Linked DNA regions of Daphnia pulex. The protein of the gene in region 1 binds, or shares a complex with, the protein of each later gene. Links are inferred from orthologs where the notes say so. Each region holds a gene or a part of one and is shown on either strand. Other genes may lie near its edges.

Region 1 (4,260 bases):
CTTTTCTTCTTTTTCGTTGGAATAGATATGAGGGAATTGAAAATTGGATTTCAAAAATTCGAATTTTCAAGTAGATAGCCGCCGTCGTCGTCTACTAGCAAATGTCATTATTTGATCACGTAGGCTACACGCGTTATATTCTTCTCCACCCGAATTTAGAAATAGGAAGCAGCCTCGATTGCCAAGGATATAAATAAAAGGCTATTTATCAGATTTAGATGATTAGTTAGAGCCAAGCGCGCCCACCGGAGACTGTGGAAAACTTTTCACAGACTGAACTAAATACACAGCAGCAGTTAGTCGACCTTTTATGTAATCTAACCTTGAAGGCCATTAAAAGTCGGTTAAAAGCCCAGCAACAACTGTATCTAAACTCTTTAATATATAGATGATATATACGCTGAAACTGCATATAGAGAACATAGAGCGAAAAGTCTTCATAAAAGGGCAGCAGCCCCATTAGAACGCGCGCGTAACTTGTGTGTGCTGTGTAAAGGATTGATCCTGCTGCCGTGCTGGCCCTTCTCTCAAAAGCCCCTTTTATACGTGTATAGTAGTGTAGCATGTGGATATTATATATCTTGTCTGGATCATTCAGCTTCTGTATAAATAGGCCCTCGCTTTATGCATAACATGTATCTATCATTGAGTCCCTATTTATAGCCTCCTCCCCTCTTTGCATAGAACGAAACGGTATATCTGCAAAACTGTGCTGCAATAAGTCAATGTGCCAATCCTGCTGGAGGAGGAAGTCAAAGTTTGGCTAGATGGGCTTTTCAGTCAGCGACAAGTTTGACCGAAAAATTACTTATACGGTACGGCGAAATAAAAATATTTTTTGTTTTAAATGAATAGGTATAGATATTGTAGTGCAGTATAGGTGTATAAATGGAGTCGGAGGATGGAGATCAAGTAGCTTTTCATCGGACGGTGAAGCGCTTCGTGCACTTTTGCGGCCGGGTTTTCTGGCCTGCGCGTTCCTTATTATTTCAACTTGATGAAAAGTGCTGGGCTAATTAAGGCGCTGTAAGGGAATCATCAAGCGAACGGCCCCCAGCAGCTAGCAGTCTGCTGATGATATAGAAATAATAAGCGCGACATCGGGCAAAGACGAAAGAGGCCCGCGGAGAACAAGCCCCCAAAAACCAGCAAAAAGAAAAAAGTAGACGAACGAAGAGGAGATAACAGTTCAGTGGCCGCCGCCCCACCCAGAAAAAAAAAATTAATAAAAATTGGGTAGGGGAATTAAGAAAATAGAATTATTATTCAGTCATATGTGGCGAAAAGGTTCTTAAAAGCTTCGGCAGTCTTTTCTAATTGATCGCCAGCAGAAGCGTATATAGTGCGTATTATTATTTCGAGGAGAAGAAAGAAGAAGGTCCTCAGACTCTGTGATGCGCCGAGCACATCTATACATATATACACGCCACCAGATTATTAGAGGGGAACCTACTAATTAATGAAAGGATGCTCCTTTTTGTACTGCCTGTGTGTAATCGAGTCGCCAGAGATTTTTAAGTAACGTGATTCTTCCCCCCATCCATTTCATTTGCACAAGGAAAATAAATCACCAAGGCATATGGAAATGATTAGAAGAAGACCATAAGAAATGACGACGATGCCTAATAATAATGATGTAAAGCAATAAGATATGTCGATTTTATTTTTCCAAAACAAATGCAAAATAGCAAAACCCGTAGTAGTAGTAGTAGAAACGGATGACGTTAAGATATATTCAAAGTCTCAAGCGGGTTTTCGGGGTCGGATCATTAATACCGACATCGTAGATGACAAATCTGGATCACAATAATAAAAGCTTTTGTGTGTGTGTGTGTGCATAGTTCTCTATGTACTAGTCTCTGTTGCTGTGCATATATATGTAAATCTGCAGCAGATCCCTTGCTGCGTATTCAATCAGTCATCAAGAACCCAATTAGAGGAATCAGACAACAGTGCACCGGTAATCCTTTTGAAAAGCCGACGACGAGAAGACGGAAGGATTTTTATTTTATTGTTCTCGTTTGTTGACAAGTCAAAATACATTTTTATATACAAAAAAGGAAAGCTTGATCCAACAAGAAAATCCACAAACAAACAAAAATGGCCGACGACAATAAAGTTTGCACGTTTACATTCAAGAAACGAAGAGGAGGAGGAGCCGCCATGAGGAGAAAAGCTGATGATGACAAGAAAAGCAGCAGCGAAGATGAAACTGTTGTTGCTCGAGTGGGGAAAAAGGAATCGGCTGGACTTCTTTCGGCTAAAACTGTGAGTTATTGAAAGTCTCTGCAAAAAGAATTTGTGTTTCTCATCGTGTTTTTTTCTTTTGGGGTTGACAGTTCAAATCCACGAAAAAGTCCCGTCAAGAAATCCAAAACAGCTCTGATGAGGAAGTCAAGGAAAAGGTCACAGTCGTCTTCCAGTCTGACAGAAGTGCTGAGAACAAGAAAGACGATCTTGCCACTTCCACAGTTCAGATCGACACTGCCGTCGATCAAGATGCCAGGACAATTTTTGAGAAATCTTTACAAAGTAGGTCAACTTTTTTATTTAAAATGAACCAAAATAATGTTTTGTTTCTTTGACAGTCCAGCAGGAGCTGAAAGGCAAAGCAGATGACAAGAAATATCGTGGCCTTGCTAACTATGCCCAGTACTACGAGAAAAGAGATACAGCCCAAGGAAATGCTGCATCTGCCAATGTGAGAAAAGGCCCCATGCGAGCCCCAGCCAACATCAGGTCAACAGTGAGATGGGATTACCAACCAGATCTTTGTAAAGATTACAAGGAAACGGGTTTCTGCGGTTTCGGAGGTATTCAAAATCTAACCAAAAGTTTTTGGGGTTATTATCATCATTCAGTTGAACTTTTATAAAGCTTTGCTGTGTTTTATTAGACAGTTGTAAGTTCTTGCACGACCGTTCCGATTATAAATTCGGATGGCAGTTGGAGCGAGAAGAAAGGGGAAAAGGTGAGCCGGCCGAAGACGACTCAAAGTATGAAATACACTCGGACGACGAAGATTTGCCCTTCAAGTGTTTCATCTGTCGCGAGTCGTTCCAACATCCCGTTGTCTCCAAGTAATAAAGACTCTCTCCTATTCATTTATAAGAAGGAGAATTTAACGCAAATTTTGACACGGCAGGTGTAAGCATTATTTCTGCGAGGCCTGCGCCTTGAAACATTACCGCAAATCGCAGCGGTGTTTTGTTTGCGGCAAACAAACTTTTGGTGTCTTTAACCCGGCAAAGAGCCTCATCGAGCGGCTCAAGTTGGAGGAAGAAGGCAAAACTTACAAGGAAGCAGACAGCGACGAGGAGCTCAACAACTTGGAATTGATTATGCAGCCGTCTGGCAGCACTACTGGTAAACCTACGGGAGCAACAGCAGATGTGGAGGAGCCCGTTACGGAGATTGAGCACATTCACTACGCAGACGAAGGAGTCGTGGCCAACGATACGGATTCAGATGATGACAGCGATTGAGGATAAGATCATCTTTATTTTTTCCCCCTACCATTCACGTGTAAGAATACATTATTTTGTAATTCCTTCTTTTTTAAATAATGCTTTCAATTGACGTATAAAGTGTATTTAACTTTAACGAGTGAATTTGCATAGGCACACAATTTAATTTTTGTTTAAATCATTTCATTAAAATTTATCAAGACTCATCTTCAGAGTCGTCCTCCTTCTCGATCAGTTTCCATTGCTCGGCGATTTCCAGGGTTGATTTGGCGCAGTCGCAAATTTTGGCCATTTCAGGTGTTTCTGTGTGCAGAGCGGATTCAAATGGGTTACAAAAAAGATTAGTTCAAGGCACCATGTCAAAAGTTTTAACTTAATCCTCTTTACCGAATTTGGTGAGAACTTCCAGGACCATAATAACCTCAGGTTGCAACAACTTTTCGGCCAACTCTTTCGAATGACTGGCGATGTTTTTGACGATAACAGCTCCTCGATATTGCACGTCTTTGTCCGTATTGCTCAGTAGGAAGCAAAGGATTTCTTTCCACTCTGTCGCCTATTGACAAATTTAACAAGAGAAAAAAAAAGTTAAAATCAATTCCAGGGAAAAAGTTAAAAAGAATGGAGGCAAACCTCGAAAACTTTCCGTGAAGCCCGTTTACTGACTGACGTCAGAATAGCCAAGGCTCCTGCAGCAGCTTTGGACATCTCAACGTCTTCTGAAGTGGAAAGTAAGACTAAATACTTGGTGCGGTCGTTTTTACCCTCAAAGAGTTTGACCACTTCTTCGCTA
Region 2 (4,670 bases), on another chromosome or scaffold:
TGTATACAGGCTGCAGTAACTCTAGTCTGGATGTCACATCAACTTTATGAGTTTACGGTCACGTCCTGCTAAAGTTGACCTGTGCACGTACGTTATCCTGATTACTCATTGGAGCGAGAATATTGTGTGCTCGGCGAGGCGAGACATCAAAGACGAGATGAGAAAAGAATAGAGTAGACGTAACATATCTTCAAGTAGCTCATAATTAAGAAGACAACCTCTTTTCCCCTTGTAAACAATTGCCATGGGGAAATGTCGCGGCTTCCTGATACATTTTCATAAGAAACACACGCATATCTACTTGAATGAACTGTATACATCCTGCATGCATTTATTATTGTTCGTCTTAATGAGATGCTCGGTGCTGTTGCGTAATTAACGTGCCTCGGGACCTCAACTATCTCTCTCTCCATGGGCAAATAACTTGAATAATAAACATGACTGCTGCCATGGGCTTATCTGTCAGTAAACTTCACCATCAGCTGCTGCGCCACAAGCACCCCGGTGCCAAATCAAGTTCCCCTTGTGCCAAGGCCTACATAGTATAGTCTGAGCGAGACAAGGCGGCCTATATCGATCGATCCGTCCAAAGAGCCTCAACCAACCCCCACCACCCAGCCAACTGTATTATCGCACAAGGGAAAAGGCGAAACTGCTATACACACACATATATAGTCTTGGATCAAATAGATGATATATATACAGAGGAAGAAGAAGACTTTGATAATGAGACGTGCTGCTGCTGCCGTTCCTTTATTTATTGGAGACCGGCATCAGCACATCTCGTATTGATTTCCTGTTGCAAAGAGAGCAGCCGTCGTCGTCGAAAAGTTCCCAAATCTTGTCCTACAACTGTCTCTCTATTATCGGATGTACTGTATGCATTGTGGATGCATTATAAAGCCCTACGCCGCAAAAGAGATTTATTGGCCCACACATTGAAAGTCGAAACGGAAGGCGGAAGAGAGACGGAGATGAGGCGAGCTCACGGTCACCGCACATCCACATTTATCATTTGTTATGGGACGAGACTCTGAACTGCCTCGCTGATTCGCATCGCTTCAAAATGAGAATCTATTCACTATAGTATATCAAACTCTTACGTTGGCATTTATGGCCACCGGATTTCAGACTGTTAAGCCAGCTATCCGTTGATAAATCAGATGGTGCAACCCTCCCAACGAGAACAGCATTTATTTTTACGACTGTGTCGTCGTCGTGGGATATATTGGCCAAAGTGAAAGTTTTTAAGGTGTTTACTTTTTTCATATGGCGATGCGCTCAGTTCCGCTCGGCGTCCAACTTGTAACACAGAGAGGGTCGATTTCATCAGCGCTCACTTTTACACGTCGGCGTTAATTGCGTTGCATCAAACGAAAAACACAGTGGGCGGCAACTCGTTATATTTTGCCTTGCCATTAGATGTTATTACAAGCAGATTGCAAGAGACGCGAAGTTCCATTAGAGTTGACAAGCGTTCGTATTTCAACTCGGGGCGGGTATGGATTACTTGACTTTCTTATTCTTTTCCACCCACTCTCGACTTTCATCTCATTACCGTAAAAAATGCCAAGAACGGCTGCGAGGAGAAGGAAAAAGGTTGTTGACTGCGCTCTTATTTTTTTATGGAACGGAGAAGAAAAACGTCGGAAGGAATATGAGAGAGAGACTGTAATAAGAAAAGGCGCGCTAACACTCTCATCTCAAGTGCGTCTATTTATTCCGCCCATCATTAAACCTTATTGGATACATCCAACGCAGAGCATACACACACACACGGCGCCACAATCTTGTAAAAAGTTTTCAGGATCGATACGACGTTTTTCCTTTTTTTATATAATTCCCATCACGTCTTGAGCGCCCCATCCCATTGATGGAGACACAATTTTATGTAAACTCTGGATAATTTAATAATATTCTTTTTTTTTTAATTTGTATCGAATAAAATGTCGATGTTGCGAAAAGCCGAAAATATCCCGCATTTTATCTCGCTCTGTTGCGAAGAAACAATCTGACAACGTTGCATCATAAATTATTCTCGAGTTACAATTTTTGTATTTGGCAACATCTTGGTTGAAAGACTCGACTGAAAACATGGCGTCGTTATCAAGGTATAATAATTATTTTTTTGATTTCCTTGTATTTAAACTATGTATTAATTATGGTCATGTTATTTTATACAGTTATCTCCCAGCGCCAACGCAGTTGACGTGGGATCGAGATGTCGAGGAGCAAAAGGAACGTGCTAATCGCCAAACGGCCATCGTGGCCGCCACAAAGGCAATCCCACCATACGGAAATCGCGATTCATGGATGCCTCGAAATGTTTCCGATTTCGGAGATGGAGGTGCTTTTCCCGAAATTCACATGGCCCAATATCCAATGGACATGGGTCGCAAAGACCAGGCTGGACAAAAGTCAAATGCCTTGGCCATCCAACTTGATGCAGAGGGAAAGATCAAATATGATGCTATTGCCAGGCAAGGCCATGGGAAGGACAAACACGTCTACTCCAAATTCACTGATCTCCTGCCTGCTGAAATTACCAATGAGGATGATCCCTCTTTGCACAAGCCCACAGACGATGAAATTGCAGATATAACAGAGAAAACGAGACAAGCCCTGGAAAGAATCACCAATGCCAAAGTAGAAGCAGCTCTTCCAGTCCGTGCCGCAGAGAGAACTGGCCCTGCTCAATTCATTCGCTACACACCAGCACAGCAGGGTGATGAATTCAATTCTGGCGCCAAACAACGCATTATCCGCATGGTTGAAGTACAAAAAGATCCCATGGAACCCCCAAGGTAAATTTTAGAAAAAGTGCCATTTCATTTCATTCCCATATTGACTGATTATTTTTCACTAGGTTCAAAATCAACCAAAAAATCCCCCGTGGTCCACCTTCTCCTCCTGCCCCCGTGTTGCATTCTCCTACACGTAAAGTAACTGTCAAGGAACAACAGGAATGGAAAATTCCGCCTTGCATTTCAAATTGGAAGAACGCTAAAGGTTACACCATTCCTCTTGACAAACGTTTGGCAGCCGATGGTCGAGGACTTCAACAGGTGCCGTCCCTAACGACCTAAAAACGTGTCTTTCCCCAATCAACTAAATGTTGTTGTTTCTCGCAGGTTCACATTAACGAGAAATTCGCGAAATTGGCCGAATCATTGTACATAGCCGATCGAAAGGCCAGAGAGTCGGTTGAACTTCGCGCCCAACTTCAAAAGAAACAAGCGCAAAAAGAAAAGGAAAAGAAGGAAGATACTCTGCGACAGCTGGCGCAGCAAGTCCGCGAAGAGAGAGCAGGTCTGCGACCCGGTGCAGGCGCTGCTGCTGCTCGTGAAGACGACGATGATGCAGCGGAGCGTGACAACTTGAGACAAGAACGGCATCGTGAGCGTCAACGTGAGCGCAACATTGCACGCGCGGCTCCCGGCGATAAAAAGTATTAAACATTTGATTTCCTTTCAACTTTTTCCAGTCAATTAATTAACAATTTCCATTGACGCGTAGATCCAAACTCGATCGCCAACGCGAGCGTGACATTAGTGAGCAGATTGCATTGGGGATGCCTGCTCGAGCTTCTGCAAGTGGCGAGACCATGTACGATCAGCGTTTACTGAACCAAACTCGTGGAATGGACAGTGGATTCGCCGATGATGAGGCCTACAATGTCTACGACAAACCTTGGCGTGAACAAGGAACTCTGTCCAGTAATCTCTATCGTCCGACCAAGAACCTCGATCAAGATTTGTACGGCGACGATTTGGATAAACTTGTCAAGACCAGCAAGTAAGTTGACCTACTTTCAAGGTGCATTGGTTTATGAAGTTGAAACTCATTTTGTTTTTCATTTGTTTACAGGTTTGTACCTGATAAGGAATTTAGCGGAACTGATCGTTCTGGTCCTTCCGGCTCCCGCAGTGGTCCAGTTCAGTTTGAGAAGGAAGAGGATCCTTTCGGCCTCGACAAGTTTTTGACGGACGTCCGCAAGGCCAGTAGCAAACGACCCACTGACGCGGAACGCTCAGACAAGGACAAGGATAAGAGACGGCGTCGAGACTAAATATTGTTTTTCTTTCCGTTGACGATTTCGCAATTTGTTTCATTTTACCTCACACAAAAAAAAATCTTTTTAAAAAAACCACAAAAACAATGATTCCTTTTCTCCAAGACCAGAATACATTTCAAATGAAATGTCTGTGACTAGTTTTATTTATTCATTGATTACGAGACAAAACACTTGATTCAATACTGTAAAGTGACGAAACATTTTGCAAGAATGTACATAATGGTAAATCGAAAATGCAGCAGAAGACTTGAATATCACCAGACAAGTGTAAGTAATAATCATCATGAAAAGAGTCCAGTGGAAAGTCCACGATAAAAACACCTAGCCTCCAGAAGCCTGTGTAGCTGCTCTATGCTGATAAGTCGGACATGAGCTTCTTCACTCAGCTGCTGTCTCTCCTGCAGCAGCCCAACCAGCGTGTCAGAGGTATTGTAGATTTGCAGTAGCAGCCAGTCTTGCAACTTTTTGAGATCATCAATCGCAAGGTTTTCACAAACTGGGAAGAGCAACACAATTAAGGGTTTGCAGGTAGAAAAGAAAGAACACGTAAAACTTACGAGAGTAGGTCTGTTTAACTGTGCGGGGTTTGAGCTCA
Region 3 (3,775 bases), on another chromosome or scaffold:
CCGAATCATCGAAGGAGTCTAGGAATATTTCTCCACTATCGCGTGCGAATGCAGAAACCTTAACACCTCCAAATGCAACAATGGCGTTATCCAGGCTACTGAGCTGAAATAGCTTTAGCTTTGCGACTGAGTGCAGTACCCACGGCTGAAAAGTTCTTGTCCCTGCGAAAATAAATAACTTTAAAACTGTCGGAATCAAAATTTGTCTGATTCAAAATTTCACCTCAAATCAGCGTAAAGCTCTTCGGCCGAGTTTAGAACAACAGATTTAACAGAGCTACCATCAGAGCGAGGTGACTGGCCCGCATGTGATGAGGCTTGAAAATTTTCTCCTGGAAGCTTGACTGTATCTAAATAACAATGAAACCACAAAATGCAAGTAAAATAATTGTTTTACTCAGAAGCTAACAATACTTTCTTACTATGTTTTATTCCATAGAATTCGTCGATAAGACCCTCATAGGTCAACTGAGTGACAACAGGAGTTATCAAATATACAGTCCTATCAATGATCATAAGAGTGTCGAACAACGGAGATATGGGGGGATCACAGTCTACCCCAATATCACTCGCATTCGAGTCATCAATTCGAATACGTTACGGGCATGGCGCCCCTTACCCACAACGTTGGGGAAAATGCCATATAAACTTTGGAGGGACATTAACCCATGAGCAATTTGGTGTAAGGAGCTGATTTCATTGTCAACATATAAATCCTGAGAATAAATTTGAAGAAATTGATGACAAGCAATCCCTTTCAAAGTTTGGCTCATAAATAAATACCTTGAAAACATTATCGAGTTCCATTGAAATGACATCACTATCTAGTGGGAAAAAATCAACAGGCAGTTCATCAATAGAAGTAAGAGTTCCATACACTCCTTTGTCCTAAATGAAGTAATAATTTTGTCAACAATTTCTTCTTCGCTGATTTAAGTAACTTTAACCAACCTTGAGCCGCTGTTCACATACTGCACTTCATCGGGAGATAAAAATTAACTGATATTCCTTACTAGCAGAATGTCCTTGGCTTTCTTCGCTGAAATGTAAATTAACTTATTGTTGACTATTTAAAGTTAAAATATGTAGATTATTCATACCTGTGCAAGTTATCGGCAATACAATCCATCAGCTCAACTTCAGGTCTTGTGATGAACAGTATATTTTTAACAGATATGGAAGGCAAGCACCCAGGTTTTAACTGGAACATTTTTACAACATCTAGTTCCTTAAGAAAACTGTATTCTGCCACCAAACCAATGGGGCCAGTGAGTTGTTCATCCCAAAATATTGCCTAGCATAATTGATGAATTTACGTACATTTCTTAAATGGAATAGCACACACCAATATACCTTTGTTCCACTGAACTTCTCTAAAAGAGGAACAATATCCTGTAACAATAACAAAACTGTTGACGAAATTTATTTTTACTGAACAAGACATCAACAGACTGTCAACAGACAACCTAATGGTTTTTGTGGTTGTCCTAAGTCACAAAAAGCTAATGACTAAATCCGCATAAAATGAAATAAAATTTAGTATTACCAAATGAATCGAAACTTACCTATCCGCTGAGATAAATTACTGTAAGTTTACACAAAAAGTTTGAAGAAAATCGATGCAGTAGTTTAGATTTCTATAAATTTATTCTGATTCTGAATTAAAGGTTCTGGAAGCCTGGCCCAGAACACCGTACACTCCCCCCACATCCCTCCCCCTCCTACACACCCAGACACCCGCATTTACTTTAATGCCTTCTGGTAGTACAAGTACTACCCTCAGGGATAATGTTTACTACTCGTAAACAACTTTATCGAAAATCGGGTAAAAAGGGAGTAGATCGCTTCGAATTCCTTCAAGAGTTGGTTAATGAATTCTATCAATCGAATTCTCTTGGTATGTTTCATCTTTAAAAACAAATTTTAAAAAATTACTACTAAATAATTTGTTTCAATTATTTTAGAAAGCCAAGAACAAGTTTTAGCTAATTTGGCCAATTTTGCGTATGATCCCTTGAACTATGATTATATCAGAGAACTCAAAATAATTGAATTGTTCTTAAACGGACTGCAAAGCAGAAATCCATTCTTTGTTGAATACTGTTTGAAGGGTATTTGTAATTTGTCCAATGATCCCCTGAACCAAGATATAATATTCAAACACAATGGACTCAATCATATTAAAGAATTTGTAAAGTCTGAAAACCCTGATTTAGTGAAACACGGACTTACTACTTTGATTTTTCTACTTTCATCAGCAATTCCATCAGGTAGTAAGATCTAATAAAAGTAACACCATTTTATGATTTTAATTTCTCATCTATGTTTATCAACAGATGTTGCCACTTCCGACTTGATTGCCCAGATTCAACTGTTAAAACATAGTGAAAATCAAAACATAAAGAACTTGGCTACCATTTTCTTAGAAGAGTCATCTGGCATCAGTTCAGGCTAACTTGAAAGGAAATGTTCATCAAGAGAATAAAGTGTATACTCCAGAAGAGCACCAACATGAAGATGAATCTTGCTGAAGGGATAAACAAAAGATTTCTTCAATCATTCATTCAGAAAGGCTCCACAGTAGTAGAACTTAAAAAAGTAACTTATGCAGATGTGGAAAGTTTTTCCAAGTTGACAGGTGACTTAAATTCAGTTCATTTTGGTGGGGAAGCTATAGTTCATGGGGTTTTGCTTAATGGCTTTGTCAGTGCTGTTCTTGGCACCCAGTTACCTGGGCCTGGTTATGTTGTTTATGAACAATCAATGACTTTTCCAAATCCCTGTCGAGTTGGTGATGATGTAGAAATTCTAGTAGAAGTCGTAGAAGCCAGAAAAATTGTTGTCTGTAAATACGTGTGCACAAGTATTAATCAGCAATGTGTTGTTCATCAAGGTACCGCTAAATTATTGAAATTTAAAGGATTAAAATAAAACCTACATCCATGTAGCCTATGCGTTTATTTCTCGGCGCGTCTCTTCAGCTGATCTACGTTTAACTTCAAGCAGGAAGAGGACTGTTAGTCCGTTCCAAGAACTCCCTAGACAGTTTTTCAAAGTGTAATGGGTGAATGTAAATACATAACTAATAAATTATAGGGATTAAATTAAAATTTACCAGAAATTTTCTGCCGCATTAGCTCCATGCTCTTCTCGATTTGCTGATTCTGTTTGCGTATTCTTACAAAACAAAAAATGCTTTGTCATTTGCATTTTGCCTTTGATTTCTATTCGGATGGCACGATTCAAGAGACCGTATAACAGTGGATTAATGCTGATTGATGCATACATAAGCCACGTCACCGTTATAGAGCCATTGTTTGTAACGTACCCAGGAACTGCGTCACACAGAAAATCTTCGTGATGAACAATGGGGATCACGTTCAATACCCAATAGGGCGACCACAGTACAATGTAGGAACCGATTGTAAGCACTAACGTCTTGATTGCTTTATTACGTTTCTTATTAGAGACCATACTTGATTCTGTTTGCGAAACGACAACTGGATTTACAGTCCATATTCTTGGAGTCGTTTCATTAATTGGAGGAAACAGAGAAGGGGTCGGCTGAATTGTTCTTTGCACATTCTGTGCAACTCGGTAAATGTTTAAATACATTACTACGATAATAATGATTGGAAGTACATAGACTGCCAAAAATTGCAACCAACGGAAAATTGGATCCTGAAAACGATAGGCGTATGGCGCATAACAAGTTTGATCAGGTAATTGGAAAATTGGAATTAAAGCAAAAAGTATGCTGCCCGCTGTCACGATT
Region 4 (3,699 bases), on another chromosome or scaffold:
AAAAGAAAATCCGCGACCTGTACCTTTTTAAGATCTTCGTAGAAGAGAAAGAGCATGTTTGGGTTGTGGCGTTTGTTCCAGGCTTCAATAATATGAGGGAAGAAAGGAGAGAACAGGACTGAAACAACAACATGCTCATAAAACCACGGTACGTTTTAGAATATCAATTTGAAAATAATATAGATTACGTTCATCATCCATAAAGTATCGGGCGAATTTTTCAACATCTTCAGTAAAATTATGAAACTGAATCAGTTTGTGATGATGAAAATATGAAACAATGACATCTTTTGGATTACGGGCTACATAAACCACCTGCAAAACACAGCAGATAAAATATTAGTAACAACCAATCGCCTACGGTTTACAAATATGATTAAGGGAACTAGATTTCCTTGCAAGTATCCAATAACTTCGGATTAAGAAGATAAAATGGCAGATGGCTTTTAATAACTCTTGGTGAAGGCATTTGCTCAACCTTATCAAGTGTAATCAGCATTTTGCTGTGCTCTGGTGGAAGACAGCTACCAATCATGTATGGGAACCTTAAAGAGTCCATATAGTTCATAAACCGAAAACGGAAATGTCTTGTTAAAGCTCTCAATGACATCCCAACAACTGACATACTCTAGAAAGGGTGACCGAACTATTAGTGGTGCCTTAGATCCAATTGGATCACAATTGTTGAGAATCATCCACACTAATTCCTGTGTCCACGTCGTTCCTAAGTAAACAAATTCAAAGTTATCAATTTTATATGTGCGGGAGAATACGAAAAGTTAACACTTTCAAGATCCGAGAGATTTGTATTTGTTTGTTTCAAACTATGTGTTTTAAAATAGGCGGGGAGAAATACAAGGTTGCCATTTGGCTACTAGACTTTCAAGGCTACGGCCAAAAAAATTGATGACAAAGAAATAAATTGTGACGTAATAGCAGTAATTGCTAAACAAATACCACTAGGATATTTATTTTTACGAATTATTATTTTATAAAAATGTAGCTATTACATAAAAAAAATCTTAAAAATGATTGAAAAAGGATTTTACCGCATTTTGGAAAGGTTACTACCCAAACGTCGTCGCTTCTTGGTTGAAAACGTGAAATTTCTTTGGCATGGCGTGCATACTCATCCGTTAAGAGAAAACCACCAGGTTCGCTCTTCATCAGTCCATGCTGCTCGTAGTTTGTGAAGTGTTCTTTCAAGTCTCCATTCACTTCTACAGGATTGAATTTTATGTTCCACTCTGGAACAACTTCGGGAGGAACTGAAGGATTTTCGGGGTTTGTCATCGTGCGAGAGCTCAGACAACAAATGAAAACGCAACGGCAAAAAGGATCGAACAAAGACCGCGACGACTGAATGACACCGTGGCCTCCTTTTTTATACTCAACAGCGACTCAGCGAGTGCCACATCAAATTTTAACGATTTGGTTTTCGTCGTTAAATCAAATGCAAAATTATTAAATCCACGTAAATATGTATTACAATATCAGATATTTGATAATATTTATTTAAATATTTTACAACGACCCAACGAGCAAAAGAAAAATATACTTCTCTAACAACATAATTTTGATTTCGAAAATGTTATGCTGTAATCGATTACAAAAATTCTCAATTTGGCATACATAAGCATTACTCAATTTCTAAAACATTACATAAAAAAATGAGAATATAAATACATTAAAGAGCAGGCAGTGAGGCAGCAGAGAGCAGGTCCGCGGACGGCGGACCGCTAGCGGCTAGCCGTTTACAGGTGGTGGATGAAAGTAAATCTGGCAACGGTTACGAGTTGCGACACCATTTCATGTTGACAAGCCGAGAAACGAGTTGTATCAAACTGAAACTGAAACATTGAATTGATCTCGTTTTTTTGAGAAATACGCCAGAAACATTAAGGTAATTAGAGAGTACTTGTGCATATCTTGTTTTATTTCGTTTGGATCGCCATGGTAAAGCACAACGAAGACGAGAGGAGTCCCAAAAGGTCCCACGAACGAGGCCATGAAAGAGGCAAGACTCACAGACGTCGTGAAGAACGTGACTCTTCCCCACCACGAAAATCTTCACGAAGCGACCATTACCATTCAAGAAGTGATGACTATGAAAGAAGTCGGAAATCAGACAGCAGGAGACATGATTCACAAGTTTCACACAAAGAAAGTAATCGAAGAAATGACCCACCAATTCCAGTTAAAATCAAGAAAGAACCAGTTAGTGATGATGAACAAAGTTTCAGACGTCCACAACACAATGAAGGGCCTTCAAGACGGCATGAGCAACCACATTCAGAAGATCGACCACCAAGACCTTTTAAGCAGAGACGCAAAAGCCCCCGAAGTGAAGATGCTGAAGCAGCCAACTACCAGTATGGCCAACAAGTTAAAGATGAAGAAGAAGAAGGAACACTCGTTGAAAAGCAAAAACCCAACTTTGGTCTATCAGGAAAATTGACTGAAGAGAAGAATGTTTTCAATGGTGTGGTGGTCAAATACAGTGAACCACCTGAAGCCAGAATTCCCAAGCGACGGTGGCGTTTTTACGTCTTTAAAGGGGAAGAGGCATTGCCTACGTTGTACCTTCACCGTCAAAGCGCCTACTTAATCGGAAGAGATCGTAAAGTTGCTGATATTCCAATCGACCATCCCTCTTGCTCGAAACAGCACGCTGCGATCCAATTTCGGTTGGTAAACTACGAACGGCCTGATGGAACTGCAGGACGTACTGTCCGGCCATATATTATTGATCTGGAAGCAGCCAATGGTACTTTTGTAAATAATCAAAAAATTGAATCCAAACGTTACGTCGAATTGTTCGAGAAGGATGTGGTGAAGTTTGGCTTCAGTTCCCGCGAATATGTTCTCCTTCATGAAGAAAGCAAAACAGATGCTAGTTTGGACGATATGGGAGTGGGGCAGTGACACGTTGGTGACCAGCAATGTTTTGTATCATAACAATTTTCTTTTTTGAACGCCGCAATACACTTAATGTTTCTGCGAAAGGTATTCAATCGTCTTTAAGTGTTCTTTCATTTCATTTCCAGGTTTCACACATCAGTGGGGCTGTTCATGTTATTCGTAAGTTGTCACGTTAATTCAAATTTATAACTAAAGCAATTTTTACAACCAGTTGGTAACAGGTAACCAAAATTGCTGGTGTCATGAGACCTGTGGAACGACTGCTGGCCTCCTCAGCAAGACCGCCCAACATTCTAATATGTACGAGTGACAAAGAAGTTTTTCAGCAATATCGAGCCCTCTTTGAATCCACACTAGAGCCGGATTGGTATATAAACAGTATAGACATTTGATATCTGGATTCTTGATCTTAAACAATGTAACATTGATTGACAGTTATGCCCTTTACCATCTCGATGAACTCTCATTTCGTTCTAAAAAAGCTTGGCTAAGCAACACAAGCCTCCTAGTACTTGCTTCTCGATGGTCTGATAATGACTTGCACGATCCGCTGGAAGAGTACATCAAGAAGGGTGGTCAATGTCTTTCCCTACACCCTTTTTCTCCAAAATGGCTGAATGGAACCCAAGTGAATGGCGTTACAAAGTACGTATCTGATCAAGGCTTACTAGTCTCACCAGTCGACAAGCTTGATTTCGCTCAAGTACTTCCACATATTCTAGAACTTCACTTCCACATTAAGACACAAGTCAAAAGTCAACAGGAGGCTCGTATTGA
Region 5 (4,899 bases), on another chromosome or scaffold:
ACAATTTGTTGCTGAATTTCAAAAATGAGATGATACATTACCTTGGGAAATCACTGTGTCAATATTGCTCACTGGATCGGAAAATGGAAAAGATGAAAATGGAAATTGCTGGTAACCTTCTTGAAATTCCGTAGGAATATCGAAGCAGCAAACACTGCCGATTCCCATTGCGAAAACTATTGATACTAAAAGTAACAGAACGTTCACGGTACAACATTTCTTCATTTCTATGTGTACAATCCACACCAAATTCGGTCGACGGTTTGTATTTTAGAATGTAACAACAACGAAATTTCGTCACAATTCCGCTTTTGAAGTATAACACTCAGTGTTTCCTGATAACGGCTAGTTCCGCGTTGGAAGACATAGCACGGTCGCGTAACTTGGTCCACTGAAGAAATCACGACTGGGAGCAACGACAAGTAACAAAAAAGAAAAGCAAGTCCGAAAGATTTAACGGCGAAAAGGGAGGCGCTTATACACAATGATCCATAATTTGATTGAAAAGCTATGATGACTCATGTGACGTTGATAGTTTTATCAAAACATTTCCTTGTAACTTGTGAAGAGACCAAACACTACCTCATTGCGAGGCACTAGGAACACCACTGAATGCCTACCGCTCGTGGTTGGATTTCGTAGACTTTTAATCGTAACATTTCTCTTCGTCATCCTTTCATTTGTTCTGCTCTCTCCTCACTTTCTCCTAGGTTCCGCAATTTCCAATGGTTTACCGAAGAAATCCAGGTCACGTCGCTATTAAACTAACGTTATACGCTGCATGGCTGTTTACGAAGATTCATCAACCATGGAGAAGCAGCCACGCAAACTATGCGCCCTAATACTTTCTATTCACAACCGTTTACACATCAATTACGCTTAAACACTAACAATACCATTCAGATGTATTTAAAATTATGCAAATTCCTCTGAAACTCCCCATTTGTATGCGCGGTTGTCTCAGATATATTTGTTTAAGGTTTACAATGATTGTTACGGAAAAACCCCAAAATAGGTGAAAAAGTCTAAAATTTGTCAGCCTGCCATACGTTCAGTGTGTCATGTCGCGTCATCGTCCGATAGGCGTTTCATCCGGCTTCATCCTCATCACGTTCACACGGTACTTGCGTTTCCTCTTGCTATTCGATTTTGTTGCGGTTGTTGTTCTGAAGCCTCCGTAAAGTTGCTTGCTAATTACATGCTAATAATAAGTATCGCAGCAGCAGATTCGTTTACCAAATTGGGAGAAAATAGAATTTGGAGAAAGCAGGCCATACTTTTATTGTTTGGTACATTGTGGTCATAGCTTCATCCATGACTTGGTTTGTCCTATTCCTTAGTCAATTAATAACCTTCAGCTAAAATACACAACTTTCCAAAAAAGAAACTGAATTTTCGTCTTTGCCTACTAAAAGTAGGTCGGGTTATTAAAAAAAAAAATTCCAGATTTCATAAAAGAAAATTTGTCAGGTTGATCGCGGTAAAGTTTAAGTTTTTAAATCTAATGTTTAAAATATATTTATTGTAATAAAAATACTCTTAGCACAGTAGAAAACAAGATACAAAGGCTTTCCTCACACTTTAGATTTTTCAGTTTCTATACCTAAAACAAAACGCAATTGAGATATTATAGCGGTAGGAATAGGAAGATGAGGAAAAAGGGTTTCTAGATCAAATTAAGGGTATGGAGCTATCCAGCAGATTTTTAATTTTTTACAGAAATGCAGATTTCAGTTTTGGGACATCACAGTTGAAATCCTGATCCCAAATTTTAAGAGAAAAATAATTAAAATGAATTTATTAACTAATTATTTCATGAGTGATAAAGAAATAGTTGGGAGAGATTTTTTGAAATTCCAAATCAGTAAATCACGAGCTTAGTTCTATGTGTGTCCTATAAGGAAATCTATTTTTACTAAATCCATACGATACAACGATAGTTATCGAATAAGACTGAAGATAAGTGAATTTTTCCGTCAGAAACTCAGAATTCAAGAGCGATAAATGTATGAGTATGGCCAGCATAGTATCAGGCAACTCTTATTTACAGTGCGTTGCAATCGTCTGCCACCAGTAGCGCTGTGAGTCGAAAGGATAAAATGGTTTGTTTGTTTAAAAAAAAACCAAACACAGTTCGCTCGAACTAGCAGCCAACAACTCCGAACTAGACATAGAACTGACATAGATGCTAGATTGCTACTACTACTAGCTTTGTCGAGCTACACATTACCTCTGCACATTATACACATCAAAACACGGAATTTTAATTAGTTTCATTTTGATTTTCTTCCTTTTTCTCCTCGATTTACAACAATGAGTAACATATACGTTCAAGAACCACCAACAAATGGAAAAGTTTGTATTCTTTTCATGTATCATTGATTGAACTACGTGCTAAAACGTAACTTTTGTTTAGGTTGTTGTGACTACTTCTCTAGGAGAAATTGAAATAGAACTGTGGAGCAAAGAATGTCCAAAGGCTTGCAGAAATTTTGTTCAACTATGCCTTGAAGGATTTTTCAATGGAACAATTTTTCACCGAGTGGTACCAAATTTTATTGCTCAAGGAGGAGATCCTTCTGGTAAAACTTAATAATGTGATCTGTTGTTATTTATATTTGATTGAAACAATTACCACCCCTTTTTCTTAGGGACTGGCCATGGTGGTGAAAGTATTTATGGGGAACCATTCAAGGTTACATAGTATTCATTTGAATAGAATTCATTATTTCAGTCTTTATTAACCTTTTACAATCTTTTGGTATTCAGAACGAAGTTCATTCACGTCTACGATTTGTCAGAAGAGGTAAAGCAAACATCTTCTGTGTTTTTATTACATAATGTACCATTTCAAACATCTTTTTAAGGATTGGTTGCAACGGCTAACACTGGAAACAATGACAATGAATCACAGTTTTTTTTTACCTTGGGTTCTTGTCCGGAACTGCAAAATAAGCACACAATTTTTGGTAGGGTTGCTGGGAATACTTTGTTCAACATGGTAACTGACAATTTGTTAATTACGCTGGGAACAAATTATTCAAGAAATTCTAATGTACAATTTTTTCTCTTTCTCATAGATCAAATTTAATGACTTGGATATTGATAGTGTAAGTATATTTAAATTTTGAAACTCAAATAATAAAATAATAAAATCAATAAAATCATAAACGCTATAGGAAGATAGACCTCGTCATCCACCTAAAATTTTTAAAACAGAAGTTATTTCTAATCCATTCCCTGACATTGAACCAAGGATTAGCCAAGAAAATATCAAGAAACCAGAGGAAATAAAATCTAAAATAAATAAAAAAAAGTATTAAGTCCAGCTATGTAATATTGTTATAACTGCTATAAGAGCTTGTGTTTGATTCTGTAGGAATCTTCAGCTGCTTTCCTTTGGGGACGAAGAAGAAGATGAAACAGATGTTCATCAGCCAACTAAGTCTTTTCGTGGGAAATCTTCTCATGAACTGACTAACGACCCTAAACTTAGCATTGTTCCTGCAGTCAACGTAGAAACGGGGTTAACAAATAAGTACGTTTAATAGAACAAGCCGTCAGATCATTTTCAAAGACTGTGTATGGTCTACATTCATATGTAAAATTTCCATGTCATATTTTCAGCGACAAACCGACAAAAATTGAACGGCAATTTGAAAAGGTTGTGCCTCAAACTGATTTGCAACCAGAAGTATCACCTGAAAGTGTAGATGTTGACATTTCGAACCAAAAGAAATCTGAAGCAAACAACAAACTGTAAGAAACAAACAAGTCATAACAATTACTTGATAGTTATGCTCATAAGTAAATGCTTTACTTTTAGAAAGCAAATCAAAGAACAGATAAGAGACTTGAAAAGGGAAATGAAAAACCCAAGTGAAACTCCTCAAGATCAAGAATTATCTAAGAAAAGAAAAATTAGCGACAGTGAAGAAGATAATGAAATACTTAAAGATTTTCATGAGCAGCAGAAGAAGTATGCGGACATAAAAACAACACGGCGAGGAAAGGGTAAATAGATCAATTGTTTAAAATATTTGTTACCTCATCATATCATCAACAAGTTTTAATATTCTATTTGGAATAGGCACGGACCGAGAAGCTGAAACCCTTAATTTCCTTAAAAAATTTCAGAGTAAGCTTAGCCAAACTCGGACAACGAAAGGAGGCGTTGATGATATTGATGACGTAAACGATGATGATGCATGGTGAGAAATAATTTTTTATCCCTATAAATTTGAAAATTGCAGAATTTCTTTATTTCTTTCTAGGTTGAATCACACGTTGAAATTCGAAGACAAAAATCCTTCGTTAGCCCGAGATGCTAATACAAAAAGTGATGATTGGTTTGAAATCTACGATCCCCGTAACCCCTTAAACAAACGAAGAAGAGAGGAATCAAAGAAGATCATGAAAGAGAGGAAATTCAACTAAAAACTAAAAATGATCTCCAGTTTTGAAATGCACATATAAAACTCACCTTTGTTTGTTAATCTCACCAATTTCTCTTTGATTCAACGAGCTTGAAAATCAGAAACAAATGTCACTTAGGCTTGCTGGAACATAAACTTGTGTGTCAATTGTAGCCAAAGTAGTCTGCACGCGTAAAGGAATTGTTATGTAAAGGAAAATTCTCCAAAATTTTTCGTGGGATCAATATAAACGGGATTGGTCACGAACGGTCACGAAATAACCGGGGATAAAAGCAGCGTGCCTGTGTCGGTTATCTGTTGAAACATCGGACTTATGCAAAAGAATCAAGAATAGGAAATTGCAGAGCTACTAAATGTTGCTAAATGTGTGACGCGTGTTTTTATCAAACCAAATGGTAAATGCGCACGACTAAATAAATGGACTCTTCGGGGGCGCTAGGGCGGGGGCACTGGAGACTTGGTC
Region 6 (4,988 bases), about 2.3 Mb from region 1:
CCCATACTGTCATCATCAAAGGAACGCAAGTCTACAATCCGGAGAAAGGTCGATGGTGCGAACTTGGATCTCTCGATGTCTTGCAAATGTTGGGTCGTGCTGGTCGACCGCAGTACGATACCAAAGGTGAAGGTATCCTCATCACCAACCACAGCGAGTTACAGTATTACCTGTCGCTGCAAAATCAGCAATTGCCCGTCGAGTCGCAAATGGTCAGCAAACTACCAGACATGCTGAACGCTGAAATCGTTTCCGGCACAGTGCAAAATGTCAAAGACGCCGTCCATTGGTTGAGCTACACTTATCTCTACATCAGGATGCTTCGTTCACCGCAACTTTACGGCATATCGGTCGACAAACTAAAGGAAGATCCGATGCTCGAGCAACACCGAGCTGACTTGATCCATACGGCAGCAGTTTCACTTGAGAAGAGCCAGCTGCTCAAATACGATCGCAAATCCGGTCAACTTCAAGGTACTGTATTTTACATTGCAATTTTGTTATAATGTCCACAGAAATTGATGGGTCTTGTGTTGGAATGTAGGCACGGAATTGGGAAGAATTGCCAGTCATTATTATTGCACCAACGCAAGCATGGCAACCTACAACCAGCTGTTGAAGCCAACTTTGAGCGAAATTGAACTATTCCGAGTTTTTTCGCTCTCTTCCGAGTTCCGCAACATCACCGTACGTGACGAAGAGAAATTGGAACTTCAGAAACTTATGGAACGTGTGCCTATACCCATCAAAGAAAGTATCGAGGAGCCTAGTGCTAAAGTCAACGTTCTATTGCAAGCCTACATTTCGCAGCTGAAACTGGAAGGCTTCGCTTTGATGGCTGACATGGTTTACGTGACTCAGTCAGCTGGTCGTCTCATCCGAGCCATTTTCGAGATGGTTCTTAGCCGAGGATGGGCCCAGCTAGCTGATAAAGCCCTCTCACTGAGCAAGATGATTAATCGTCGCATGTGGCAATCCATGTCGCCGCTTCGGCAATTTAAGAAGATGCCAGAGGAGATCATTCGAAAATTGGAGAAAAAGAGTTTGCCGTGGGAAAGACTTTACGATCTAGGCCCTACCGAAATGGGAGAACTTATTCGAGCTCCTAAATTGGGCAAGACCATCCACAAGTATGTTCATCAGTTTCCCAAGCTGGAGTTGTCTACTCACATTCAGCCAATCACTCGCTCCACGCTCAAAGTGGAATTGACCATTACTCCCGATTTCCAGTGGGACGACAAGATTCACGGCAAAGCTGAAGCTTTCTGGATCTTTGTCGAGGATGTGGACTCTGAGGTTATTCTCCACCACGAATACTTTCTTTTGAAATCGATTTACGCACAAGACGAACATCTGGTCAAGTTCTTCGTTCCAGTTTTCGAACCTCTGCCACCCCACTACTTTATCCGCGTTGTTTCGGATCATTGGATTTCCTCGGAGACGCAGTTGCCTGTTTCATTCCGTCACTTGATTTTGCCGGATAAATACCCACCACCGACTGAGCTGTTGGATTTGCAGCCGCTTCCTGTCACTGCTTTGCGTAATCGATCCTACGAAGCTCTCTACGCCGACTCGTTCCAGCAGTTCAATCCCATTCAGACGCAAGTGTTTAACGCGCTGTACAACACCGACGATAACGTCTTTATTGGTGCTCCAACTGGAGCTGGAAAAACCATTTGTGCTGAATTTGCCATTCTGCGCCTTTTCAGTCAGAAAGAACAAGAGGCTTCGGCTGAAGGAGTAGCTGAAGTTGAAGCTCGTTGCGTCTACGTTACCCCCAATCAAGAACTTGCGGATAATCTCTTCATCAACTGGCAAGACAAATTCGCATCGCGATTAGGCAAGAAAGTGGCCATGTTGACTGGAGAAACAGGCACCGACCTGAAACTTTTGGCTAAGGCCAACATCTTGATCTCGATTCCAGAGCACTGGGATGTTTTGTCACGTCGTTGGAAGCAGAGGAAGAATGTCCAGAACGTTCACTTGTTTATCGTCGATGAACTTCAATTGCTGGGCGGAGAAGACGGGCCTACACTCGAAGTAGTTTGCTCAAGAATGCGCTACATCGGTGCCCAGCTTCAGAAACCCATCAGGTTAGTGGCCTTGAGTCACTCTTTGGCCAATGCCAAGGACGTTTCGCAGTGGTTGGGTTGCCCAGCAAACGGCAGTTTCAATTTCCACCCGAACGTGCGACCAGTTCCGTTGGAACTTCACATCCAGGGATTTAACATCACCCACAATGCGTCTCGCCTCATTGCCATGGCTAAACCTCTGCATAACGCTATTTCTAAGCATTCACCGAAAAAGCCGGTACTGGTCTTTGTTCCGTCGCGAAAGCAGTCTCGCGTGACGGCCTTCGATATCCTGACTTACGCCGCCGCCGAGAACGAACCGGAACGCTATCTCCATGCCGAGTTGGAGGACATCAAACCTTTCATCCAACGGCTAACCGACAAGACACTCCACGAAACACTTAAGCAAGGTGTTGGATACTTGCACGAAGGTCTTACAGTCCAAGACAGAAGAATTGTGGAGCAGCTGTTTGAACTTGGGGCCATCCAGATCGTTGTCGTTTCGCGCACTCTTTGTTGGGCTGTCTCCGTTCACGCTCACCTGGTTATCATTATGGACACGCAAAGTTACAACGGTCAACAACACATGTACGATGACTATCCCATTACCGATTTGATCCAGATGGCTGGCAGGGCTAATCGACCGCGCGAAGATGACGACGCTAAATGCGTTCTCCTGTGCCAATCGTCCAAAAAAGATTTCTATAAAAAGGTAAACTTGGAAACTTTCTCCTAATGTTGTAACACTTGATTGTTATTTATTTGTTTCTTTCTTTTCTAGTTCTTGTACGAACCATTGCCCATCGAGAGCCATTTGGACCATTGCCTTCACGATCATTTCAACGCCGAAATCGTGACCAAAACAATTGAAAACAAGCAGGACGCTGTCGACAACTTGACGTGGACCTTTTTGTACCGGCGGATGACTCAGAATCCCAACTACTACAATCTTCAGGGAGTGAGTCATCGACACTTGTCTGACCACTTGTCCGAGTTGGTGGAAAGCACGCTGAATGACTTGGAGCAATCCAAGTGCATTACCATCGAGGAAGAAATCGACGTTAGTCCGCTTAATTTGGGCATGATTGCTGCCTACTATTGCATCCACTACACGACGATCGAGTTGTTCAGCTTGTCGCTCAACGCCAAGACCAAAATCCGTGGTTTATTGGAAATTATTTCAGCAGCCGCCGAGTATAAGAGCGTGCCAGTCCGGCATGGAGAAGAAGCCGTATTACGTCAGTTGGCTACCAGACTTCCCAATAAGCCTCAGACTAATGCCAAGTTTAGCGATCCCCACACTAAAACGTTCCTCTTGCTGCAAGCTCATTTGTCTCGCGTCCAGTTGCCAGCGGAGTTGCAGCAGGATACGGAACTCATTCTGGGCAAGGCGATTCGATTGATTCAGGCCTCTGTGGATGTGCTCAGCTCCAACGGATGGCTTTCACCAGCTGTGGCCGCCATGGAGTTATCGCAGATGGTGACTCAAGCTATGTGGTCCAAGGATTCGTACCTGAAGCAGCTACCTCATTTCACCACCGAGATTGTCAAACGGTGCACCGACAAGGGACTCGAAACAATCTTCGACGTCATGGAAATGGAGGACGACGAGCGCAACACTCTACTCGGACTTAATGAGTCCCAGATGGCGGACGTCGCGCGATTCTGCAATCGTTACCCCAACATCGAGTTGGGATTTGACGTTTTGGATCGCGATCGAATCACTTCAGGACAATCTGTAGTGATTGCAGTGAACCTTGAACGTGAAGATGAAGTCGTTGGCCCAGTCCTTGCTCCTTTCTTCCCACAGAAACGCGAAGAAGGCTGGTGGGTAGTAATCGGCGACCCGAAGGCTAATGCTCTCGTTTCCATCAAACGTCAGACATTACAGCAGAAGGCCAAAGTCAAATTGGATTTTGCGGCTCCAACGACTCCTGGCCAGCATTCTTACACCATTTATTTCATGAGCGATTCGTACACGGGATGTGATCAAGAGTACAAGTTTACCATCGATGTCAAGGAACCATCAAACTCTGAAGATTCTGACTCTGGTTCCAACTAAACATGAAGTCCAAAACTTTTTCAATCTTTATTTTTGTTTCCATTTTTGCTGGTATCATGACCGGTTTCGTTTTTAAAACATTGTGAGAAATGTCATGCCACTAAGCATATTTGCTCGCTATGAATAAAATGCGCTAAATCATTTCAATTGTTTGCACACGTGAGATTTATTTCGAATTATTGATTGGAAAAATTCGATTAATCACAAATAAAATTACACTAGGTTTCACAATCATATTTAAGCGGGAGTAACTTATAAGCGTTTTAATTTATACAAACTGATCATTTGTAAGAAACATGAGTCAGATCATTTTTGAAGTTCCATGAGATTCCGTCACCTCGTGGAGGATGAACAGATGGAAAGAAAACGCACCACCATGTTCTGAGAGAAGAACAATTAATCACCGAACATAAAGCTTTAGCAATTTAAACTTGATTACCTTCCTTCAGAGAGCCCAAGAAATATCCGCCAATTTTCATAAGTACCGTAGTCATGTGGGTTGACAAAGACATTTCCTTCTAATCGTTTAGCTTCGCGGTCATCTTTGTTAGTCAAATTTTCAATGCTCGTTTCCCCTCTGGATATAAGTCTGGCGTGCCACCCAACTAAGGCACTCAAGGCAGCTAAAACTCCGGCACAGAGTATTGCCTCCGTTACAGCGACAGCCCTTCTCAGTGATCTTGGTCGAGGTGCTGGAGCTACTTCTTCTACCTGCTAATTAAATGATTAAGAGTTTCAACAGTTTGTATGCACGTTCGTTTGATATTCATTGATACCACTGGATGCACATGAGATCCGTTACTGAATACTGGGTATCCTATTGGTTCCGAAGGATCGAAATTTGATAATTCGTG
Region 7 (3,022 bases), on another chromosome or scaffold:
TTTTCTTCATCTGGTGCCAAGTGCCAAGACTATTGCCAGGATAACTTCCTCTGATTACGTCGACGTCAATCTCACTCTCACTATAATCAAATGGTTTGAACAACACTGTGAACTGAGTTGGCAGACCCACAGAGAAGACTGCGCCCTAATTAACTACTTCCTAATTTCAGTAACTTGACGAGACTTGACGAGACTTGACGAGTTTCAATTTCAATTTTGCACTGCAGACGAACATTTGTGAGAAGAAGCGGCGATGCCAATTTAAATGTAAATAGACTTTCTTTTCTTTCTCATTTTTCATGCCAACGTAAAATTTGAAAATTGACTTTTACCAATTTTGAATTAAATACTGTAGGTGAGATGTGACACAGTGACACACTTGGCAAATTAAAACCGTATGTTTTATAGTTACGTCAGAGAATGCCCTCGACCCCTCGTATGAATATGTCCTTATCTTCTTTTTAAAAAAATTATTCCACGAACAGAACAGCGAAACTCATTGTGGATCCCAAGGCGAGAACAGCCCAAAAGTTGACATTAAATGAAAAGTATTAGCAGTATTAGCTGTGATTCTGTGAATTTTTCCAAGCAGCAAGCATCAGTTGTTGTAAGGAAAGGAACGGCAGATCGGCGCAGAACGGCCACACGCCACAAGGCCACAGCCCACAGGCCCAGTCAGCAGAGTAATAGAAAAATATATTAATTCTACAGGTTTTTTGGCATACGGGAGGATTAGTTCAAATTTCGCCAATAGATGGCTTTTTGGAATTTTGAACTGCGCGCGTAGAAATTGGAAAACGGTTTGAACTGCGCGCCTCGAAAATGAAAAACAGTTTGAACTGCGCGCGTAGAAACTGGCATCTAGGCTCTAGCGACCAAAAGTAAAAGTTAACTGGCATCTATCTAGGCTCTAGGCGGCCTAGAGCCTCCGCCACAGCACACACCTAAGTCACACCCCAATGTTTGAATGTTTGACATAACTTTTGAATGTTTCGATATGTTTTAATTGATTTCGATATGTATTATTTTTTATTAGTATACGATTTCAAGTAAAAATATCGAAATAACTTAAACGAAGCGTAAGAGAGGGTGGGTGTTGTGGTTTGGTTTGTTCTAACTGTTTACAGATTTATCTGTAACTATAACTAATTATTTTTTATTTCATATTGCTTATGAAAATAATAAATTTTGCTGTTACTTAAGCTAAAAAGAGAGTGCGACGTGGGGTGGCGGGGCGAAGCCTCCGCCACACCTAAGTCGCACCCCTTATGATTCACAGATATTTTTTGATGTTCCGATAGGCCTTGTTTGATTGATACTATTTAATGTAAAAGTATAACAGTAATTTAAGCGATTAACGAAGCAAGAGGGGGGGGGCGGGGGTGGCAGGCGAAGCCCGTCCCCCCTCCCATTCACCATACCGATAGATTCATGTAATTAATTTTGAATTTCATGTTTACTTTACTTTTGCTTTTTTAAATTTTTAATTGATATTATTTCCTACGGGAACCTCGCAAACCGGAACGGGATGCCAGCATAAAAAAAGTAATATTCTGTTACTCTGGCTTGGCTGCTTGGCTGCTTTGCCTGCTTGCCTTTGCCGCCCTTGTCTTTTTGAAAAATATCGGAAAATCCCTACGAGGAAATAAATATCTGGCAACGTTGTTGGCAATTGAGCGTCTGTGTTCGTTTCTTCTTCAACAAAAAGTGTAAACTCAAACAACTCTCATTTAGAAATTTGATAATTTTCCCGTGTGGAATCAATTAAATATCAATTCAAGATAAATGGCAGCCCGAGCACCTAAAGTCCAGAAAGTGATGGTTCAACCCATCGTAAGTTTTCACCACTATCACTTCGATTTCAGCACGAAGATTTATTAACCGGCACGTGTGTCAAAAATGTCTTTTTCCAGAACTTGATTTTCAGATACCTTCAGACAAGATCAAGAGTAGACATTTGGCTTTATGAGAACATCAACATGCACATGGAAGGACACATTGTTGGATTTGATGAGTACATGAACATTGTTCTCGATGATGCAGAGGAAGTCTACGTCAAAACAAATGTCAGAAAACAGATTGGTAATGACGTTTTCATTTACTCACAATTATTCTGTCTTCTAAATGCTGTTTTATTTTAGGACGGGTGTTGCTGAAAGGTGACAACATTACTCTAATCCAAAATGCTGCAGGAAGTGGAGACGACTAATCTTCCTATATTAATTGGTCAGAATGCATTCCCAATTTGTGTTCTGTCGTGTATTACCTTTGATTAACGGGGAACTGATTTTGTGTACATCCAATCTTGATGTGCTGACTGATAAGAAAAACATGATGCTACAACCACACTTGAATATTTCATTCTCAACATCTATTTATTATTTTTTAGTTTTATATAAATTTCCCTAGTAATATTTTCCAATATTTATTTTGATGAAGCCTAGCCACTTTTACACATGAAAAATGTCTCCGGCAAGAGAATAATTTACACAATGACAAGAATAATCATGTTTTGAAAACAAGTCATTTCATGTGGACTACAATAATAAAAATAACCTATTGCACAACATTGTGTAACCACTTAAAATAGAAGGTACAAGTATAAAATCAATAAAAGTATCAATGATATCAGCCTGTTAGGTGGGGGGTGTACAACATAGCAAAGAGTGAAAACTAGCAAAATTTCAGACCCTAAAAATAAAGTAGTGTTTAAAATAATTACACATACATAATTATCAATTTATTATGACACTTCGATAACAGAGAAGCTGTTGCAATTCAAACTGGAATTGCTATTGTGTCTAGAACCGCAGCCCGAAGGCGAGGGTGACGGGTTGGACGACGAATCTTTTATTATTTTGCTGTTGTTATTATTATTCGACGTAACCAAGACTTTGCCATCCAGGGCTCCGCATGAATAGCGTTGCGTTTGACTATCGCGGCGTGATCTGCTGCTGGCCACTCTCAACAAGACCAAAGTCTGTTGCTGGCTGTCGCTAGTTTTACCGTTAGTTTTATTCAG

What was found.
Region 2: E3 ubiquitin-protein ligase RNF113A-like (region 1) and puff-specific protein Bx42-like share a complex: the UniProt entries of both Homo sapiens proteins name them as parts of the minor spliceosome. The link is inferred for Daphnia pulex from reciprocal best matches to the Homo sapiens genes RNF113A and SNW1.
Region 3: E3 ubiquitin-protein ligase RNF113A-like (region 1) and armadillo repeat-containing protein 7-like share a complex: the UniProt entries of both Homo sapiens proteins name them as parts of the minor spliceosome. The link is inferred for Daphnia pulex from reciprocal best matches to the Homo sapiens genes RNF113A and ARMC7.
Region 4: E3 ubiquitin-protein ligase RNF113A-like (region 1) and smad nuclear interacting protein 1-like share a complex: the UniProt entries of both Homo sapiens proteins name them as parts of the minor spliceosome. The link is inferred for Daphnia pulex from reciprocal best matches to the Homo sapiens genes RNF113A and SNIP1.
Region 5: E3 ubiquitin-protein ligase RNF113A-like (region 1) and spliceosome-associated protein CWC27 homolog share a complex: the UniProt entries of both Homo sapiens proteins name them as parts of the minor spliceosome. The link is inferred for Daphnia pulex from reciprocal best matches to the Homo sapiens genes RNF113A and CWC27.
Region 6: E3 ubiquitin-protein ligase RNF113A-like (region 1) and U5 small nuclear ribonucleoprotein 200 kDa helicase-like share a complex: the UniProt entries of both Homo sapiens proteins name them as parts of the minor spliceosome. The link is inferred for Daphnia pulex from reciprocal best matches to the Homo sapiens genes RNF113A and SNRNP200.
Region 7: E3 ubiquitin-protein ligase RNF113A-like (region 1) and probable small nuclear ribonucleoprotein E share a complex: the UniProt entries of both Homo sapiens proteins name them as parts of the minor spliceosome. The link is inferred for Daphnia pulex from reciprocal best matches to the Homo sapiens genes RNF113A and SNRPE.

Annotation. Positions count from the first base shown.
Region 1 is NC_060022.1:4,929,324-4,933,583, reverse strand, and holds E3 ubiquitin-protein ligase RNF113A-like, read left to right. Parts: upstream 1-1,876; 5' UTR 1,877-2,100; coding exon 2,101-2,268; intron 2,269-2,339; coding exon 2,340-2,532; intron 2,533-2,588; coding exon 2,589-2,813; intron 2,814-2,896; coding exon 2,897-3,080; intron 3,081-3,145; coding exon 3,146-3,485; 3' UTR 3,486-3,633; downstream 3,634-4,260. Other genes in the region: protein unc-45 homolog B-like, read right to left, coding at 3,664-3,770, 3,855-4,023, 4,101-4,260. UniProt on the Homo sapiens protein: Required for pre-mRNA splicing as component of the spliceosome. As a component of the minor spliceosome, involved in the splicing of U12-type introns in pre-mRNAs. E3 ubiquitin-protein ligase that catalyzes the transfer of ubiquitin onto target proteins.
Region 2 is NC_060018.1:215,759-220,428, forward strand, and holds puff-specific protein Bx42-like, read left to right. Parts: upstream 1-1,620; 5' UTR 1,621-2,094; coding exon 2,095-2,111; intron 2,112-2,183; coding exon 2,184-2,804; intron 2,805-2,866; coding exon 2,867-3,065; intron 3,066-3,131; coding exon 3,132-3,448; intron 3,449-3,516; coding exon 3,517-3,795; intron 3,796-3,867; coding exon 3,868-4,069; 3' UTR 4,070-4,204; downstream 4,205-4,670. Other genes in the region: uncharacterized protein LOC124188708, read right to left, coding at 4,357-4,571, 4,633-4,670. UniProt on the Homo sapiens protein: Involved in pre-mRNA splicing as component of the spliceosome. As a component of the minor spliceosome, involved in the splicing of U12-type introns in pre-mRNAs.
Region 3 is NC_060018.1:4,531,141-4,534,915, forward strand, and holds armadillo repeat-containing protein 7-like, read left to right. Parts: upstream 1-1,690; 5' UTR 1,691-1,788; coding exon 1,789-1,897; intron 1,898-1,964; coding exon 1,965-2,270; intron 2,271-2,336; coding exon 2,337-2,455; 3' UTR 2,456-2,947; downstream 2,948-3,775. Other genes in the region: probable G-protein coupled receptor, read right to left, coding at 2,999-3,038, 3,116-3,775. UniProt on the Homo sapiens protein: As a component of the minor spliceosome, involved in the splicing of U12-type introns in pre-mRNAs.
Region 4 is NC_060018.1:419,458-423,156, reverse strand, and holds smad nuclear interacting protein 1-like, read left to right. Parts: upstream 1-1,897; 5' UTR 1,898-1,953; coding exon 1,954-2,925; 3' UTR 2,926-3,009; downstream 3,010-3,699. Other genes in the region: sulfotransferase 1B1-like, read right to left, coding at 24-118, 189-315, 395-545, 628-724, 1,050-1,293; biotin--protein ligase-like, read left to right, coding at 3,073-3,081, 3,144-3,289, 3,358-3,699. UniProt on the Homo sapiens protein: Required for pre-mRNA splicing as component of the spliceosome. As a component of the minor spliceosome, involved in the splicing of U12-type introns in pre-mRNAs. Down-regulates NF-kappa-B signaling by competing with RELA for CREBBP/EP300 binding.
Region 5 is NC_060020.1:8,995,631-9,000,529, forward strand, and holds spliceosome-associated protein CWC27 homolog, read left to right. Parts: upstream 1-1,918; 5' UTR 1,919-2,313; coding exon 2,314-2,355; intron 2,356-2,416; coding exon 2,417-2,582; intron 2,583-2,651; coding exon 2,652-2,695; intron 2,696-2,769; coding exon 2,770-2,806; intron 2,807-2,867; coding exon 2,868-3,001; intron 3,002-3,080; coding exon 3,081-3,110; intron 3,111-3,179; coding exon 3,180-3,316; intron 3,317-3,379; coding exon 3,380-3,538; intron 3,539-3,627; coding exon 3,628-3,759; intron 3,760-3,826; coding exon 3,827-4,014; intron 4,015-4,090; coding exon 4,091-4,211; intron 4,212-4,274; coding exon 4,275-4,437; 3' UTR 4,438-4,482; downstream 4,483-4,899. Other genes in the region: trypsin-1-like, read right to left, coding at 42-225. UniProt on the Homo sapiens protein: As part of the spliceosome, plays a role in pre-mRNA splicing. Probable inactive PPIase with no peptidyl-prolyl cis-trans isomerase activity. As a component of the minor spliceosome, involved in the splicing of U12-type introns in pre-mRNAs.
Region 6 is NC_060022.1:2,641,767-2,646,754, reverse strand, and holds the end of U5 small nuclear ribonucleoprotein 200 kDa helicase-like, read left to right. Parts: coding exon 1-474; intron 475-544; coding exon 545-2,784; intron 2,785-2,853; coding exon 2,854-4,134; 3' UTR 4,135-4,281; downstream 4,282-4,988. Other genes in the region: palmitoyltransferase ZDHHC16B-like, read right to left, coding at 4,416-4,515, 4,574-4,848, 4,911-4,988. UniProt on the Homo sapiens protein: Catalyzes the ATP-dependent unwinding of U4/U6 RNA duplices, an essential step in the assembly of a catalytically active spliceosome. Plays a role in pre-mRNA splicing as a core component of precatalytic, catalytic and postcatalytic spliceosomal complexes.
Region 7 is NC_060026.1:14,103,745-14,106,766, reverse strand, and holds probable small nuclear ribonucleoprotein E, read left to right. Parts: upstream 1-1,660; 5' UTR 1,661-1,785; coding exon 1,786-1,833; intron 1,834-1,913; coding exon 1,914-2,082; intron 2,083-2,141; coding exon 2,142-2,209; 3' UTR 2,210-2,348; downstream 2,349-3,022. Other genes in the region: serine-rich adhesin for platelets-like, read right to left, coding at 2,744-3,022. UniProt on the Homo sapiens protein: Plays a role in pre-mRNA splicing as a core component of the spliceosomal U1, U2, U4 and U5 small nuclear ribonucleoproteins (snRNPs), the building blocks of the spliceosome.